Linked DNA regions of Macaca mulatta. The protein of the gene in region 1 binds, or shares a complex with, the protein of each later gene. Links are inferred from orthologs where the notes say so. Each region holds a gene or a part of one and is shown on either strand. Other genes may lie near its edges. The genes, in order: NDUFAB1, FDX2 and LYRM4.

Region 1 (5,993 bases):
AATCCCAGCACTTTGGGAGGCCGAGACAGGCAGATCACGAGGTCAGGAGTTTGAGACTATCCTGGCTAACACGGTGAAACCCCACCTCAATAAATACATATATACATACATGTAACACTGAAATACTAGATAGGTCATGGGAAGAGATGGCCCCAAGTGTGAACTTAGTAGGCTATTAGGTTCTTCCTAAGATTAGAGCTACATTTTTTGGGAGACAGAGTCTCACTCTGTTGCCCAGGCTGGAGTGCAGTGGTACAATCATAGCTCACTGCAGCCTTGACCTCCTATGCTCAATTGGTCCTCCTACCTCAGCTTTCCCGAGCAGCTGGGACCACAGACATGCACCACCACGCCTGGCTAATTTTTTAAGTTTTTTGTGGAGACAGGGTCTCCCTATGTTGCCTAGGCTGGTCTCAAACTCCTGGGCTCAAGTGATCCACCTCCCTTGGCCTCCCAAAGTGCTGAGATTACAGAGGTGAGTCACTGAACCAGGCTTGCATGTCTGGCTTGCTCACTTTTGCAGCCTCAACAATGAGTACTTAACAGATATTCAATTTTCTTTTTTTTTTTTGAGATGGAGTTTCACTCTTGTTGCCCAGGCTAGAGTACAATGGCACAATCTCAGTTCTCTGCAACCTCCGCCTCCTGGGTACAAGCGATTCTCCTGTCTCAGCCTCCTGCCTCCTGAGTAGCTGGGATTACAGGCACCTGCCACCACACCCGGCTAATTTTTGTATTTTTAGTGGAGACGGGGTTTCACCATGTTGTCCAGGATGGTCTTGAACTCCTGACCTCAGGTGATCCACCTGCCTCAGCCTCCCAAAGTGCTGGGATTACAGGTGTGAGCCACCACACCTGGCAGCATACCATTACATTTTATTTTACTTGGATTTAACAAAAATAAAAAGAAATTGAGGTAAAACTGATGGCATTATTGGATCGTTCATTCAGGCAGATTTCAGAATTTGGAGTCACTATCCCGTGTGTTTCAATTTCAGTCAATATCCTTTGACTACCTGCTTAGAAATAGGAATTCGCCTAAACTCCTCCCTCGCTTACCTATTTTTGTTAGCTATTGTAAGGAACATGGCTGTGCTTTGGTCAAGGATAGGCCAAGGTAAGATGTTTACATCCTGCGTGACTCAGCAAGTTTAGACACAGGCGTATAACTCCACTTGTTATCACAGCCATGTAGCCATAACATGGGAAGGCCATCACTTGGCTCTAAGCCACTATTTTCTGTAAAAGGTATAATTGCCTTGCTAATACTGTACAGGCCTTCGTGCCCAGAGAAAGAGTGAGAGAGCCAGAGCTGTCCGTCTTTGCAGACAGACGTGGGGGAGCCAGAACACAGCTGAGAGAAAGAGTTCAGCTGCTGACCCTGAAAGCAAGGGAGAGCAGCCTCGCAGCTGTGTGTTGGAGCCCCGGGACTAAACAGCCGAGACAAGGTGGACAGTGTGAGAGAACTAGTGTAAGTAAGCTGCTGATGAGAGCTGCTGCTGAATAAAATCATCTTTCACCTGCCTACCGTCCCCTGAGTGTTCTTTTGCTATTTGCTCATCCACCCACTCACCTCAGAGCTCCATATGGGCTGGAACCTGGCTGTGGGCATGACAGTTGGCATAGTCGTGGACCTGACAGCTATATTATACACTGTCAAGTTTTAAAACATGTATTGTTTTAATCGTAATTCTCACATTTATTAGTCTTAGTATTTTTTCACATTATTTTTCATATATATATATAACCTATTCAATAAATGTTAATACTTGTGGAAGAATCGTGGAATCAAAACTTTGTCCTTTTTTTCTTTTAATCTTTTTTGTAACAGAGACGGAGTCTTGCCATGTTGGCCAGGTTAGTCTTGAACTCCTGAGCTCAAGCAGTCCTGCCACCTTGACCTCCCAAAGTGCTAGGATTAAAGGTGTGAGCCACCGCGCCCGGCCCCAAACGTTTAAATAGATATATTTCAGAACTTTCAGATAAAAAATGAAAGTAGGTTTGTCCTGTCGTGTCGCTTAGGGAAAGACTGCAACGTCTGCACAGTTCAGTCGTGGCACCAAGCAACTGTTCGTCCCGAACCTGGATGGGCTCCGAGGGCGCAGTGCCTCCTGGAGCCGCCAGGGGCCGCCACCGCCGGCGGTGCCCGACAGCGCTGCTCTGTGCGTCGCCTGCGCGCTGCCGGAGATGAACCCTGGGCCGGTGGCGGCGGCGCAGTGTATCCTGGGTCGGCGTAGCTATGGCGTCTCGTGTCCTTTCATCCTATGTCCGCCGCCTGCCCGCGGCCTTTGCGCCGCTGCCCCGGGTCCCGATGCTGGCCGTGGCCCGGCCTCTCAGCACCGGTCTGTGCTCCGTGGGGACCCAGACGAGGCTCGGGCCTTTGCAGCCGGCCTTAAAGCTCGCGCAGGTGACTCGCGGTGACTTTTCTGGGGCTTGGCAGGGGTCAGGAATTGGGCCCGGTGGGGGTGGGGGCCGGGCACCCCAGCCGCGCCAGCTGCCCGCAGGGGTGACCCGGGGGGCAGCCGGCTCGCTCCGCAGCCCCGCTGCCTAAAGGTGTTTAGTTGACCCCTGCCGGGAGGCCAGGTGACCTCGTAATAACTAGCAAGAGCACTGACTAGAGTCCAGCTCCGCTGGACTGCCGCTTACCGAAACTTTGGACAAGTCTTCTAGCCTTGCTCACACTCACCTGCAAAATTGGGATCCTGGCCTCTACCTTGCGGAGTAGCAATAAGGATTAGATGAGTTAATGCGGATAGAGCACCTCGTACCGTCTCAAAATAGTGGTCACCGTATTGTAGTGAAAGCAGCATGCAAAGAGGTAGCCACACTGGCCTACAGCCTTCTACAGAGCGGTTCTCTCTGCAGTTCTGTCCTTTTCCCTGCTGCACCTTCTGCCTGTGTCCAGGACTCCTGGAAGTAATTCTAGGAAACAAGTGCAGGTGACCTTTGAACAATAAGGATTTGAATTGTGTTGGTCCACTTAAATGCGGATTTTTTTCAACCAAACGCGGCCAGTATTTACGGGATGTGCCGCCCTGCGTATAAGGAGGGCAGGCTCTTCCTATAAGGGGATTCTGCAAGGCTGACGGCGGGACAGGAGTGTGCGCGGATTTGGGTATAGTCAGGGGTCCTGGAACCAATCTCCTGCGCGAATACCAAAGAACGACTGTGCCTGTAGTATATAGCTTGAGCTGATGAAATCTGCGTGAGGCTGAAACGCCAGGAGGCAGTGATTTTCAAACCTAGCTCCATATTCAAATTACGTGGGTAACTTGAAAAAACAGAAAAGCTTTGCCCCCTCCCCCTTCCTGCTGATTTATTCCTCTGGGATGATGCCCTGCCATGGTGGTGGTAGTGTTATTGTTGTTTTTGAGACAGAGTCTCGCTCTGTAGCCCAAGCTGGAGTGCAGTGGCGTGATCTCGGCTCACTGCAACCTTCGGCTCACTGCAACCTCCGGTTCACGGCAACCTCCGCCTATCAGGTTCAAGCGATTCTCCTCCCTCAGCCTCCCGAGTATTTGGGACTACAGGTGCCCACCACCATGCCTGGCCAATTTTTGTATTTTTAGTAGAGACGGGGTTTCATCATATTGGCCAGGCTGGTCTCCAACTCCTGACCTCGCAGTCCACCAGCCTTGGCCTCCCAAAGTGCTGCGATTACAGGCGTGAACCACCGCGCCCGGCCTGTTGTTGTTGTTCTAGGCTCTCCAGATGACTCTGAAGTGCAATTGAGAATAAAAATAACCTTCTTAAGGTAGGATAGACTCTCAAGGTCAAGTTATGAAACCCCTTTTCAAAGTCATAGACTTCAGGTAATAGGGTTTCAACCTTGACTGCATGTTAGTGTGAAAAATAAGTGTGTCTGGCCAGGCGCGGTGGCTCATGCCTGTAATCCCAGCACTTTGCGAGGCTGAGGTGGGCGGATCGCTTGAGCCCAGGAGTTTGAGACCTTCCTAGGCAACATGGTGGAACCCTGTCTCTACAAAAAAATACATAAATTAAGCCACCGCGGTGGCTCACGCCTGTAAACCCAGCACTTTGGGATGCCGAGGTGGGCGGATCACGAGGTCAGGCGATGGAGACCATTCTGGCTAACACGGTGAAACCCCTTCTCTACTAAAAATAAAAAAAATTAGCCGGGCGTGGTGGCACGCGCCTGTAGTCCCAGCTACTCAGGAGGCTGAGGCAGGAGAATCGCTTGAACCCGGGAGGCGGAGGTTGCAGTGAGCCGAGATCACCAGTGAGCCAAGATGCCAAGTCTGGCATCCTCCTTCCTGGCCACTCAAGGACTGAGTGACAACCTTTGTTATTGCATCAGCCTACAGATACTTCTGTCGTGGTGCTTGCCATATTTTTATTTCAGCTAAAATGATCTGTGGATTGGTCTTTTCCATTAGAGTGGAAGCTTCTCTGGGGGGAAGGTTGTGTCATATTCATCTTTGCATTTCCAGCCCATTGCACAGTTCTTGGCACACAGGTTAAGTTCCCAGGCTTCTGAGACAGTCATGTAAATAGATAAAGGCAAGACATTGTGAGAACAGGTGTGTGTAGTGCAGAAGCAAAAAGAGGTACTTGACCAACCTCTCAGCAAACATGATCTTGAAGGCCTGTGCAGAGACCAGGAAGAGCCCTCGTGGTTGACTCTTAGGGTGTCTGGAAGGGAACATCGTTGGGGGGAAGAGAGTGAGCATATCATGAAGGGAGCTGTGTGCTGCAGTGAGGAATTGTGGATGTTCTCTGCCAAGGTCATAGGGAGTGAACATGAAGCAGGGCTTATTGAAGGAATAAGCCCCAGGTGGCGGAGAAGGAACAGACATCTCTAAGCAGGAGTTTTGGAGACAGGTCAGGAGTTCATTTCCAAACTGTTGAGTTTGAGAGGTCTGGGCTGCCTATGTAGAGTGGACCAGTCGGCAGTTTGTAGAGACAGCCTTTAAAGCCCTCTCCTTAGCCTCCTCTGAGTTTGCCTCAGGCAAAAGTGGGCCCCAGTGGAGTACCTGGATTCTGATGGAACCTCATGCATTTGAATTACTAGTCCAGAGGGCCGTCACTGTTTACCTGCAAACAGTACCTTCTCTGATGTCTGGGAGAGGTGGTTTATTGCCCATATAATTGTTAAGTGTAGATCTTGAGGAAGAAAAATTAACACCAGAAACCTCACATGTTGGCTGTTGGGGAGGTGCTTGTCCATTTTGTATCCCTTTTATTTTTTCCCAGTCAACAGAGATCCAGCTAGAAGGAGCAACAAGACCTTCCAAGAGGCCATGCTGGAAGAACATGGGGTGAGGGGGATACCTAACCTCCCCCTGCCTCAGTTTCTCATCTGTAAAAAGGAGGGTGATAGTATCATGAATCTCACCAGATTACTGGAGAGCTGAAGGAAGATGATGTGTGTAAAGTGCTTAGGGCAATATCATAGCCTGACTTGATAAGAAATCAATGGAAGCCAGGCGTGGTAGTTTATGCCTGCCTGTAATCCCAGCACTTTCGGAGACTGAGGTGAGTGGATCACTTGAGACCAGGAGTTCAGGACCAGCCTGGCCAACATAGTGAAACCTCATCTCTACTAAAAATACAGAAATTAGCCAGGCATGGTGGAGCATGCCTGTAATCCCAGCTACTTGGGAGGCAGAGGCATAAGAATCACTTGAACCCAGAAGGCAGAGGTTGTAGTGAGCCGAGGTCACAACACTGCACTCCAGCCTGGGCAACACAGTGAGACTCTGTCTGAAAAAAAAGAAAAAGAAATCAATAGAGACCAGAGGCAGAAGCATGAGAGGGGAGTAGGATCAAGTATTTTGGGGCTACGCTACAGCCAAGGTATCAAACTAGCTGCTGCTGGTCATTGGTCTCAGGATCCTACTAAATAACCCAAAATAGCACTTATTGTGTAAGTGCCAGCCAATGTCCAAGCCCTTTACTTCATCTCTTCACAACAGTCCTGTGAGCATGGTACTGTTGTTTATCCCCATTTTACAGATGAGGAAACTGAGGTG
Region 2 (5,831 bases), on another chromosome or scaffold:
TAGCCAGGATGGTCTTGATCTCCTGATGTCGTGATCTGCTCGCCTCGGCCTCCCAAAGTGCTGCGATTACAGGCGTGAGCCACCACACCTTGCCAGGCCACTGACCTCTACTGGCCCAGCGCAGTGGCTCATGTCTGTAATCCCAGCACTTTGGGAGGCCAAGGCAGGTAGATCAACTGTGGTCAGGAGTTTGAGACCACCCTGGCCAACATGGTGAAACCTCATCTCTATTAAAAATACAAAAATTGGCCGGGCGCGGTGGCTCAAGCCTGTAATCCCAGCACTTTGGGAGGCTGAGACGGGCAGATCACGAGGTCAGGAGATCGAGAGCATCCTGGCTAACCCGGTGAAACCCCGTCTCTACTAAAAAATACAAAAAACTAGCTGGGCGAGGTGGCGGGCGCCTGTAGTCCCAGCTACTCGGGAGGCTGAGGCAGGAGAATGGCGTAAACCCGAGAGGCAGAGCTTGCAGTGAGGTGAGATCCGACCACTGCACTCCAGCCTGGGCGACAGAGCGAGACTCCGTCTCAAAAAAAAAAAACAAAAATTTAGCTGGGCATGGTGGCAGGCGCCTGTAATCCCAGCTACTCGGGAGGCTAAGGCAAGAGAATCACTTGAACCCGGGAGGGGGAGGTTGCAGTAAGCCAAGATCACGCCATTGCACTCCAGCCTGGGTGATAGAACGAGACTCTGTCTCAAATAAATAAATAAATAAACAAATCGGGCCGGGCGCGGTGGCTCAAGCTTGTAATCCCAACACTTTGGGAGGCCGAGACGGGCGGATCACGAGGTCAGGAGATCGAGACCATCCTGGCTAACATGGTGAAACCCCATCTCTACTAAAAAAAAAAACAAAAAAACTAGCTGGGCGTGGTGGCGGGCGCCTGTAGTCCCAGCTACTCAGGAGGCTGAGGCAGGACAATGGCGTAAACCCGGGAGGCAGAGCTTGCAGTGAACTGAAATCTGGCCACTGCACTCCAGCCTGGGTGACAGAGCGAGACTCTGTCTCAAAAAAAAGCAAATCTATTTCACATTCCAATCTCTGTCCTAGACTACTGGCTGCTGGATTCCAGAACAGAACTTGACGTAGGCCTTTCATAACCCCTCCCAACATATCTTCCCCTTTAATGATAAAATCAGGATCCCTGATATATTCATTCCAAAAGCAAACCCTGTATGTTTTCTTCCAGACAACCCTTCCCAAGTTACTCATGACATAATTATATATTTACCTGTGGGATTATTGTCCCTATTAGGCCGAAATGGGTGTGAAATGACAGAGGCCTTATGTGTTTTGTATATTGCTGCCTGACGAGCAGTAGGTATTCATAAAAAGGCAACACAGATTAGTGGCTAAAATGGACTGGTGAGTCTAGTATTGTCACTCACTTGACCTTAGACCAGGTCTACTTAACCTGGGGTTTAGTTTCCTCATCTATAATATGGAATAACAGTCTCTACTACTCAAGTTGTCATGAAGATTCAGTCAGTGAATATGTATTAACATAGTTAAAGAGATATATATATATATATATATTTTTTCTTTTGAGACAGTCTCGCTCTGCCATCCAGCCTGGAGTACAGTGGTGCCATCTTGGCTCACTGCAACCTCTGCCTCCCAAGTTCAAGTGATTCTTGTGCCTCAGCCTCCCAAGTAGCTGGGATTATATGCATGTGCCACCACACCCCGCTAATTTTTGTGTTTCTTGTAGAGACAAGGTTTCACCATGTTGGCCAGGCTGGTCTCAAACTCCTGTCCTCAAGTGATTCACCTGCCTCGGCCTCCGAAAGTGTTGGGATTACAAGCGTGAGCCACTGCGCCTGGACAAGAAATTTCTATTATTATTTTTCTCTCAACAAATTATCAAACACCTGTTACATCCTGACAGACAAGGCAACAGATAAGCATGAATAAGAACATGGGTCTCCAGTCTCACTGGGGGACAGATGACAAAGTAGGAAACAAAACAGCCTGGCATCGTGGCTTGTGCCTATAATCCCAGCTACTTGGGAGGCTGAGGTGGGAGGATCACTTGAACCCAGGAGTTCAACGCTGCAGTGACGTATGATTGCATCATGGCACTCCGGCATTGGCAACACAGCAAGGCTGTGTCTCTTGAAAAGACAAAAAAGTGAGAAGTGCTATATATCATATCACACTGATGAGACAGAGTAACTAGCGCATGGGTACTTCAGCTGGGCTGAGGGGAATGGGATTGTTAGGGACATGACATTTACATTGAGGTCTGAAGGATGAGAAAGAGCCAGAATGTTTGCTGGGCAAGCACTTCAGACAGAGGGAACAGCAAATGCAGTGGACCCGAGGCAGGAAGGAATGAGCTGGACTATTTGAGGAACCACAAGAAAGCCAGTGTGGGCTGGGTGTGGTGGCTCACGCCTGTAATCCCAGCATTTCAGGAGGCTGAGCGGGTAGATTGCCTGTCAGGAGTTTGAGACCAGCCTGGCTAACGTGGTGAAACCCTGTCTCTACTAAAAATACAAAACTTAGCTGGGCTTGGTGGTGGGCGCCTGTAATCCCAGCTAGTCTGGCAGGTGGTGCAGGGGAATCGCTTGAACCCGCGAGGTGGAGGTTGCAGTGAGCTGAGGTGCAGTAAGCCATTGCACTCCAGCCTGGGCAACAAGAGTGAAACTCCATCTCAAAACAACAACAAAAAGAAAGCCAATGTGGCTAGAATACAGGGAGGAAGGGGGAAGAGAACACAAAATCCTGGGAGTCAGGAGTCCTAGTGATCTCTAATAAATGCTTAATAAATAAGAGCTTGGCAACAGATGAGGCCGTGGTAAGGGGTTTGGATTTTAGTCCATATTTGGTGGGAAAAGTCATGAAGAGACACACCTGATTTGTTTTTGTTTTTGTTTTGGACAAATGGATAAGGACCTCCTTAACTCCCTGTGCCCAGTTCCTACCTTCCAGGTCCACCCCGTGGCGCTGTGCCAGATGGAGAACATTGTCTCCGACTCTGCCGCTCACTGGGATCCGCTGGCCTGAGCGGTCTACGAACACCACGTTCACCCTGGGGACAGATGGAGGTGCGAATGCCGAACTGGATGATGGGCTCAGGGCCCGGGTAGAATCTGGGGTTAGGAAGTAGGGACTGAGGCTTGACGCACGGGTGCTGAATAGGGCAAAGCAGAAGGGGGACCGCGAGATGAAGCTACAGGGCAAGATGGGGACCAGAGGAATTCCGTGGGATGAGGAATGGGGGACTTGGCCCCCTGCACTCACACGTCCCCGGGCTGCTCGGGGCCGCCTGTCTCCTCCTCTCCCGCCGAGCGCGAGCCTGGAAAACACGGTTGAGTGAGCGGCTGCGCAGAGCCCCGCCCCGCCGGCATCTGACGGGTTAACGCTGCCCGCCCCGGGCGCCTCAGGTACCTGTCGCTTGAAACTTTCTGGTTGTCCCCGGCGCCACCCCCTCCCCCGACCCCGAAGTGCCCCCAGTTCGGTTCCACCAGGTGCCCCTTGCAGTCTGAAGCAGAACCCTGGCACTCACGCCGCCCCGGGTCATGGAGGCAGCCATGACGTGCATCACGTGACCCACCGACTGAGCATGCGCCGCGCCAGGGACGCGAGGTAAGGGCCCGTAATCACTGGAACAGAAGCGCAGATGTTTGCTTAGGGCCTGCGGTGACAAGGAGGGAAGAGCAGGGCGGGATCCAGCTCAGGTATACCCGCGGGGCCATCCCAGACCTCCCACTCAGGCCCACTGTTTGTCCCAAGAACCAGCCAACTCTGATTTCTTTAAAACCATTTACTTACAAACTTTAATTCAGCAAAGGTCCGTGTGGGGAGATTGGGGTGGGGTCCGGGGAATAGTCCCCTTGGAGTGGATGTGGACCCCCAGAGTCAAGGGAGGGAAGCTAGTGGCCCAGTTGGCTGGGGGCAAGGCCCAGGGTCACCTCAGGTCGACAGGTCCTGCTGGTGTGCGGGCCCAGAGCTTATCTTCATGGAGTGCTGGTTTCTGGCCCTGGGCTGAAAGGAGGCCAGCTCCGGGGATCTGGCCTGGGGTGGGCAGGCAGAATTCAAGAATTCATCTTCAACAAGGGAGTGACAGCAGAGGCTCTGGGAGATGGGCACAACGTCCGACTCCCACAGACAGACAGCAGGGGATTGGCAGAGAAAGCCCATCTCTGCACTGAGGCCCAGGCAGGAGGGGGTGGTGAGGCTGGTTAGCCAAGATGAAGGCTTTGCCCTTCTACTGTCCCCAGGGTGGAGATCCTAGGTAGGGTGGCCCAATCCCTAGGCCAGAGCTGTTTGGTCCATAGTCAAGCTCCCAGAGCTTGGCATCTGTGGCTCTGGCCAGCAGGGCCTGGGGCCCAGCTTTTAAGGCATCAGAAGGGGAGGGGGCTGCGGCAGGGACCCCGGGCCCCGGGGCTGGGATATTGGCCAGATGGGCAGGCAGGGGCAGGAGACAGCCATGCCTGCAGCAGATGTGGGAAAAAGAGCTGTTTCAAACTGCAAAGTGTGGAATGGTGGCCCGGACAGGCCGGACCTTGAAGGAATCACAGCTGGGGGTTGTCCGCGGTGGTTTTAAAAATAAAAATTAGAAAAGGAAACAGAAGTCAGTTGTCAAAGTTAAAAAAAAGGAGACAGTCTCTGTATCCTCACGGGAGGTCAGGGAAACCTCCAAGGCACTCGAAAGGCCAAAATTACAGGATCAACGAGGCAGGAGGGCTCCGGAGAGACGGGCACATCGGAAGAGGAGATGGGGGGAGGGAGGGAGAGCAGGCCGGGGCCCCTCTCTCTTAAGGCTGCAGGGTTTCGGTGTGGGGAGCAAGCCAGAGGTGCAGTGAGGCCTCCAGACTCCCCCACACCCCTTGGGCTCCTGGGGCTCCAGCTGATTGGTCAGTAAAGTCTTTCAGAGATTTTTCTATTACCGAAAGAGAGAAAATGGTTTAAAAAAACACAAAACAAAACACCAGAAAACCCAAAAGCGATTTGGTGCAGGCCCTTGAGTTATCTCTGGCACCAGCCACTTAGAAAATCCTCTTCCGCTTCAGATAGGAGTCCGCGTAGTGGCCGCCGAGGCCCTGGGAGTGCTGGCCCACATAGCTGCCTTCTGGGCTGGGCTCGGGCGAGGGCAGTAGGTGGGCAAAGCTGCGTTTCTGGCCGCCCAGTGGGGTCTGGAGACAGAGGGCAGGGCGGGGCAGGTCAGGGGCTGCTGGGGGGCCGGGGCTCCCCAGCCCTGCATGTCCCCACCCCCTGCCCGTACCTTCAGCAGGTGGCTATGACCATTAGGCCCTGGGCCGAGGCCCAGGAGCCCTTCTCCGGAGCCCAGTGGGGAAGAGCCGATCGCCTGGAAGAAATGGAGAGGTGGAACAGGTTACTCCCTGGGGGCCAGAGGAAGCACCCCTCCCGCCCGGCGCCCGCGCCCTCCCCGCCCTCCCTGTCCCCGCAGGCAAAGGGTTTCAGGTTTCAGGTTCAAATCTTGCTTCTGCTACTTTCTAGCCATGAGACCTGGGGGCCAATTGCTCCATTTTATTTGAGCCTCGGTTTTCTCATCTGTCAAATGGGGCCAAGTAGCACCCACAGCCTGGGCTGTAGAGGGAGGAAGTGACAGAAAGCCTGGAAGGCTAGCAGTGCTAGGTGCTTGATGCACAGGGTGGATAGAGGACAACAGGCTGTTGCTACTCCACCCTGAGCAAGACCGACCCCTGCCACCACCCCAGCTTTGGCCTGGGTACCGAGGGTCACAGAGCCCCGGTGGCAAGCACCCCCGAATCGTAGCTGTCCCAGGATGCCTGTGTTCAGCCAGAGAGGCTCCTCACCTTGCTGAGGTGGCTCTGCTTGAGGCCAGCCTGCAGGCCGCTGG
Region 3 (5,377 bases), on another chromosome or scaffold:
ATCCCAGGGGGGCCCCTATGGGAAGACGAAATCTGAGCACAGGCCTGGGTGGAAGGGGAAGGGAGCTACAGGAACGTCTGGAGGGACTCCTCCAGGTAGGGGGTGCACAGGCATTGAGATGGCAGCAAGTTCATGGAAATAGGGAGAGTGAGGGAGAGGAGAGCAATGGAGGGCCTCTGGGGACCTCAGATGGGCTTCAGGTTTTATGTTAGGGTGCCATGAAGCAAGAGCCTGGAAGGGGTTGAGCGGGGCAGTGGCCCAATCTTTCTTTTGAAAAAGATCACTGTGATGGTGGTGTGTGGAAAACAGACCGTGTGTGGGGTGCAGTGGTAGTGGGGGCACCCGGAGGACAGGTCAGAAGGCTACTACAGCAGCCAGTTAGAGAGGACAGTGTGCAAAAATACAGACTCTCCACCTCACCACAGGCTGTTAGTCCAAAGGCATCTTATGCCAGCTTGCAGCCAGATGGCTTGGGAGGCCACTACGCCTTATACCCTAACTACGGTAAAGGCTGCATGTGGATTCAGGAAGAGTCTTGACATGAAAGGGAAGTGAGTAGAAACTTCCTAGCAGCTGCTGTCTAACTGGTTCTCTGAAGGGATGAGAACGCTTTCATCCCTGAGGTGGTGACAGCATGCTGTTCTGCAAGGTCACCATGGAAGCCCTGGCCCCGCAGTATGTATTCTCCATCAGGAAGGTGCAGTGGACAGGCTGCCCTGGGGAGGGCGCCCTTGCCCTGCACATGCCACTGCTCCAGTGAGTCTGTCCTGGGGGAGGGGGGATCACTGGGATGTCAGATGAGGGCCAGTTTAGTCTTTTGTTTTTGTTTTTTTGTTGAAAGGGTGGTTTGAGCATTTCAAACCAAGAAGTGACACAGACAATTAGATATAGCAGGAGAAATGATGGCACAGATTATTTACAATCCCTCTTTTCTAAGCAGTTTATACTCTGTACAATTTTACGCTAAAGATAAAACCTGCCTGTTTTGCCAACCTCTACACACAGTAAGTGCCAAAGAACAAAATCTTTCTGCGTTTATGCAAAATAAGAACTCAGCTGCTTGTTCTTCTATGCTCCACTGCTAAAGGATCTCATAAAATTCAACCACTGGTGACTGGAAATGCCATTGTTCTAGAGTTTTCAAAATGTTTACTCACGTAAATGCCACTCTCAAAATATATATAAATGTACAGATCAGTTTCTTTTCTGAGTACCCTACTATCCTCTGGCTTTAGAGATCATTTCCCAGGACTGTCTGAGTGTGGCAGTTATTCTATTACTAAATAGCTGTAGAACTCAAGGATGGTTATGAGAATCCCAAATGCTATTCTAGAAAGAACTGTTATATTATGTAGGCAATATAACAAGACCTTTAATCTTGACATAAATTGCAAATTATAGTTTCAAATATTGCTTCTTTTTTGAATTGTTTAGAGTCAAGCATGAAGAAGGGTCAGGGAAAGATTATTATCTAATTTAATATCAGCCAAGCTGGCATCTCCTGATGATGCTAAAGAAGCCCTCTCAAAACAGTACAGCATAACTTACAGAAATGGTAAAGGGTTTCCCCCTCCACACTTTATAAACAAATTTCCTGCAAGTAAAAGAGAAACACGAAATGGAAGCAGAAATGGAGTTTATTGCGTGATTGCTGCTAAGTCCAAGAAAAACAGTGAAAAGGGTGTTTTTTAGAGAGTAAGAAAACCCATCGGTGGACAGTGACTTCAACCTCTGACGTTCTAATTACTCTTGGGGATGTTATCAGACCGCCCAGGAGATCAAGCTGCTGCACAAGCTCCACCCACCTCACCTGATGAGAAAAGCCCCGCCCGCCTCACGAGAATGAGAAGCCCCGCCCGCCTCACGAGAACGAGAGAAGCTCCGCCCGCCTCACGAGGATGAGAGAAGCTCCGCCCGCCTCACGAGAATGAGAGAAGCCCCGCCCGCCTCACGAGAACGAGAAGCTCCGCCCACCTCACGAGACCGAGAGAAGCTCCGCCCACCTCACGAGAATGAGAGAAGCCCCGCCCGCCTCACGAGAATGAGAGAAGCCCCGCCCACCTCACGAGAATGAGAGAAGCCCCGCCCACCTCAAGAGAATGAGAAGCCCTGCCCGCCTCACGAGAATGAGAGAAGCCCCGCCCGCCTCACGAGGATGAGAGAAGCCCCGCCCGCCTCAACAGAATGAGAAGCCCCGCCCGCCTCACGAGGATGAGAGAAGCCCCGCCCGCCTCAACAGAATGAGAAGCCCCGCCCACCTCACGAGGATGAGAAGCCCTGCCCGCCTCACGAGGATGAGAAGCCCCGCTCGCCTCACGAGAACGAGAGAAGCCCCGCCCACCTCAAGAGAATGAGAGACGCCCCCGCCCACCTCAAGAGAATGAGAAGCCCCGCCCGCCTCACGAGAATGAGAAGCCCCGCCCACCTCACGAGAATGAGAAGCCCCGCCCGCCTCACGAGAATGAGAATCCCCACCCGCCTCACGAGAATGAGAGAAGCTCCGCCCGCCTCACGAGAATGAGAAGCCCCGCCCACCTCACAAGAATGAGAGAAGCCCCGCCCGCCTCACAAGAATGAGAAGCCCCACCCGCCTCACGAGAATGAGAAGCTCCGCCCGCCTCACGAGAATGAGAGAAGCCCCGCCCGCCTCACGAGAATGAGAGAAGCCCCGCCCACCTCAAGAGAATGAGAAGCCCTGCCCACCTCACGAGAATGAGAGAAGCCCCGCCCGCCTCACGAGGATGAGAAGCCCCGCCCGCCTCACGAGGATGAGAGAAGCCCCGCCCACCTCACGAGGATGAGAAGCCCTGCCCGCCTCACGAGGATGAGAAGCCCCGCTCGCCTCACGAGAATGAGAGAAGCCCCGCCCACCTCAAGAGAATGAGAGACGCCCCCGCCCACCTCAAGAGAATGAGAAGCCCCGCCCGCCTCACGAGAATGGGAGAAGCCCCGCCCGCCTCACGAGGATGAGAGAAGCCCCGCCCGCCTCAACAGAATGAGAAGCCCCGCCCACCTCACGAGGATGAGAGAAGCCCCGCCCACCTCACGAGAATGAGAAGCCCCGCCCGCCTCACGAGAATGAGAAGCCCCGCCCGCCTCACGAGAATGAGAATCCCCACCCGCCTCACGAGAATGAGAGAAGCCCCGCCCGTCTCACGAGGATGAGAGAAGCCCCGCCCGCCTCACGAGAATGAGAAGCCCCGCCTGCCTCACGAGGATGAGAGAAGCTCCGCCCGCCTCACGAGAATGAGAGAAGGAAGCACAAGGTGATCCTTGGCACTTCCACGAAATGAAAACACGCCCTCCAGGGTCCTTTATGGGGTCAGCACCCAAGCAGGTGACTTTACACCATCTGCACCTGCAGATGCACCGCCCATGTGGCAACGTAATTCAGGTTCACCACCCACGATGGTGTCTTCAAGAAAAGCGCCACGTTCTGTTTATCCTGAATTGTGATTAAAAATACTAGGAAAGGGAGAATATATTTATACTCTGAAATATATCCAAGTATACATGTGCAATACATCTTATAAAAACTTAGCTTTCAATAACAGTAATGCAGAAATTTCTCATATTTAAAGTATCAGCTTTCCAGAAGGATACACTTCCTGGAAATTCTGGAAAGCTGATATTTTAAGTTCAACTTGAATCTGAAAATATGAGAGTTCACCTTTACATGTCTGTATTAGTACAAGGAACAGAGTTTCATGATCCTGCTCTGTAAATCACCAACACCAAAAGCACTGCTGTCTAATCAAGGGGGATATGTCAAAGTTTAAAGCTCTTAATGAAAAACAGTACGTCATTGAACCATCTTACCTGTCGACGAATTACTTCAAGGTCTCTCTTGGCTTTATTCACTAGGGTTTGAATTTCTACAGGATCCTTCACATTTTTATTTTCTCTGAAGGCATCTCTTATCCTCCTGACAGCATATGTTCTAAATGAATTCAGAGGAAAAAAAAGAAAAGGTGTCAGTGTGTCTGAGACTATGCTTTCAAATGAATTTAAAAGCTTTTCCTTTAGAATTAACTGTCTAATCTTCCCCTATGGATAATCCACTTTGATCTCTGCTCGTGGCGCAGGCAGATCCATTACCATTCTGGGATGACTAAGCAAACAGATTTAGGAAAATAAATCTACTCTCAACAAGCCACATACAAATGGCAAACTGCTACTGAAGAGTTCCTTAGATTATTGGTTCTTTAGCATTATTCACATCTGGCTTCACTCCATTTACATGGATAATTGAACCTTTAGTGTACAGACATAAATCAAGAATTCAGAGGTTAGCTGCAGTGATCCATGATTGTGCTACTGCACTCCAGCCTGGGCGACAATGCAAGACCCTGTCTTTAAAAAAGGAAGAAAAAAATTCAGAGGTTAAATGATGATCACATTTGCATGTACCCAGATAGTGACCTATGCTTTCCAATCCCTGTCCCATCTTCTGGCTCTCACTTCCCTTTCTTTGGTCCACATTAGGATCCCACCACAGTTGAACCTGTGGAATTAGGCCAACATGCTTTCTTTTCCTCCATCTTGAAAGTGCACACGCCTACCACCCACCCCCAAGCAGACAGATCACTTGCAGTACAGGACAGCAGTTCCACAGCAAGGCTTGCGGATCAGACAGGCTTGGGTTTGTAGCCTTGCTCCAGCTCCTACTGTTTGTGTGAACTTGGGCAAGCTTTTTAACAAAAGGCCATGTCTCCTCATCTGTCATAAAGGCATAATAATGCTAAGTGCTGCTGGGAGGATTTGGCTTTATAACATGGGTCTGGAATTTGGCCCAGAGCCTGTTATATAGAAAGACTCAATAAATGAAAGCTATTCTTAACACTTGTTACGCCTTAATGCAATTAGTATTCCCTCTCCTCATGCCATAACCTTGCCTTCCTTAGTCCTGCATCTTTACAGTCACACCACAGTGTGCGTACAGAAGGTAGAGTGGTCTGGATAATTAGCCACAACAGACAACTCAGCAGTCCTTAGACATAGTCCCACACTCAGATGGCTATGGTCTATCGCTAGCTCCACCCCATCTACTCCAGAATGAAAGGCACAAGACTAAGGAGAAGCAGACTGAGTCAGACATGTGAGACACCATTTTCTCTATTTTTTTTTCTTTTTTAGAGATGGGGTGTCCCTCTGTTGCACAGGCAGTGTCATGATCATAACTCACTACAATCACAAACCCCTGGGCTCAAGTGATCCTCCCGCCTCAGCCTCCACAGTGGCTAGGATTACAGGCACCCACCACCACGTCTGGCTAATTTAAAAAAATTTTGAGGGGGATGGGGACTTGCTGTGTTGCCCAGGCTGGTCTTAAACTCCTGGGCTCAAGCTACCCTGCTGCCTTAGCATCTCAAGGAAC

Evidence for each region.
Region 2: NDUFAB1 (region 1) and FDX2 share a complex: the UniProt entries of both Homo sapiens proteins name them as parts of the mitochondrial core iron-sulfur cluster (ISC) complex. The link is inferred for Macaca mulatta from reciprocal best matches to the Homo sapiens genes NDUFAB1 and FDX2.
Region 3: the proteins of NDUFAB1 (region 1) and LYRM4 are in contact, whole or in part, in a crystal structure (PDB 6ODD), measured with the Homo sapiens proteins. The link is inferred for Macaca mulatta from reciprocal best matches to the Homo sapiens genes NDUFAB1 and LYRM4. Residues at the interface, in NP_004994.1 of Homo sapiens: Lys92, Asp111, Ser112, Leu113, Asp114, Val116, Glu117, Met120, Glu123, Asp124, Glu129, Ile130, Asp132; in NP_065141.3 of Homo sapiens: Arg6, Leu10, Ser11, Tyr13, Arg14, Leu17, Arg18, Lys21, Arg37, Phe40, Arg41, Lys44.

Annotation. Positions count from the first base shown.
Region 1 is NC_133425.1:23,137,118-23,143,110, reverse strand, and holds the start of NDUFAB1 (acyl carrier protein, mitochondrial), read left to right. Parts: upstream 1-2,222; 5' UTR 2,223-2,239; coding exon 2,240-2,407; exon of another isoform or gene 2,408-3,311; intron 3,312-4,117; exon of another isoform or gene 4,118-5,055; intron 5,056-5,993. UniProt on the Homo sapiens protein: Carrier of the growing fatty acid chain in fatty acid biosynthesis.
Region 2 is NC_133424.1:11,033,924-11,039,754, forward strand, and holds the start of FDX2 (ferredoxin-2, mitochondrial), read right to left. Parts: upstream 3,562-5,831; 5' UTR 3,549-3,561; coding exon 3,395-3,548; intron 3,303-3,394; coding exon 3,248-3,302; intron 3,036-3,247; coding exon 2,929-3,035; exon of another isoform or gene 2,034-2,928; intron 1-2,033. Other genes in the region: RAVER1 (ribonucleoprotein PTB-binding 1), read right to left, coding at 4,996-5,142, 5,232-5,315, 5,788-5,831. UniProt on the Homo sapiens protein: Electron donor, of the core iron-sulfur cluster (ISC) assembly complex, that acts to reduce the persulfide into sulfide during [2Fe-2S] clusters assembly on the scaffolding protein ISCU.
Region 3 is NC_133409.1:177,975,400-177,980,776, reverse strand, and holds part of LYRM4 (LYR motif-containing protein 4), read right to left. Parts: intron 3,941-5,377; coding exon 3,820-3,940; intron 1-3,819.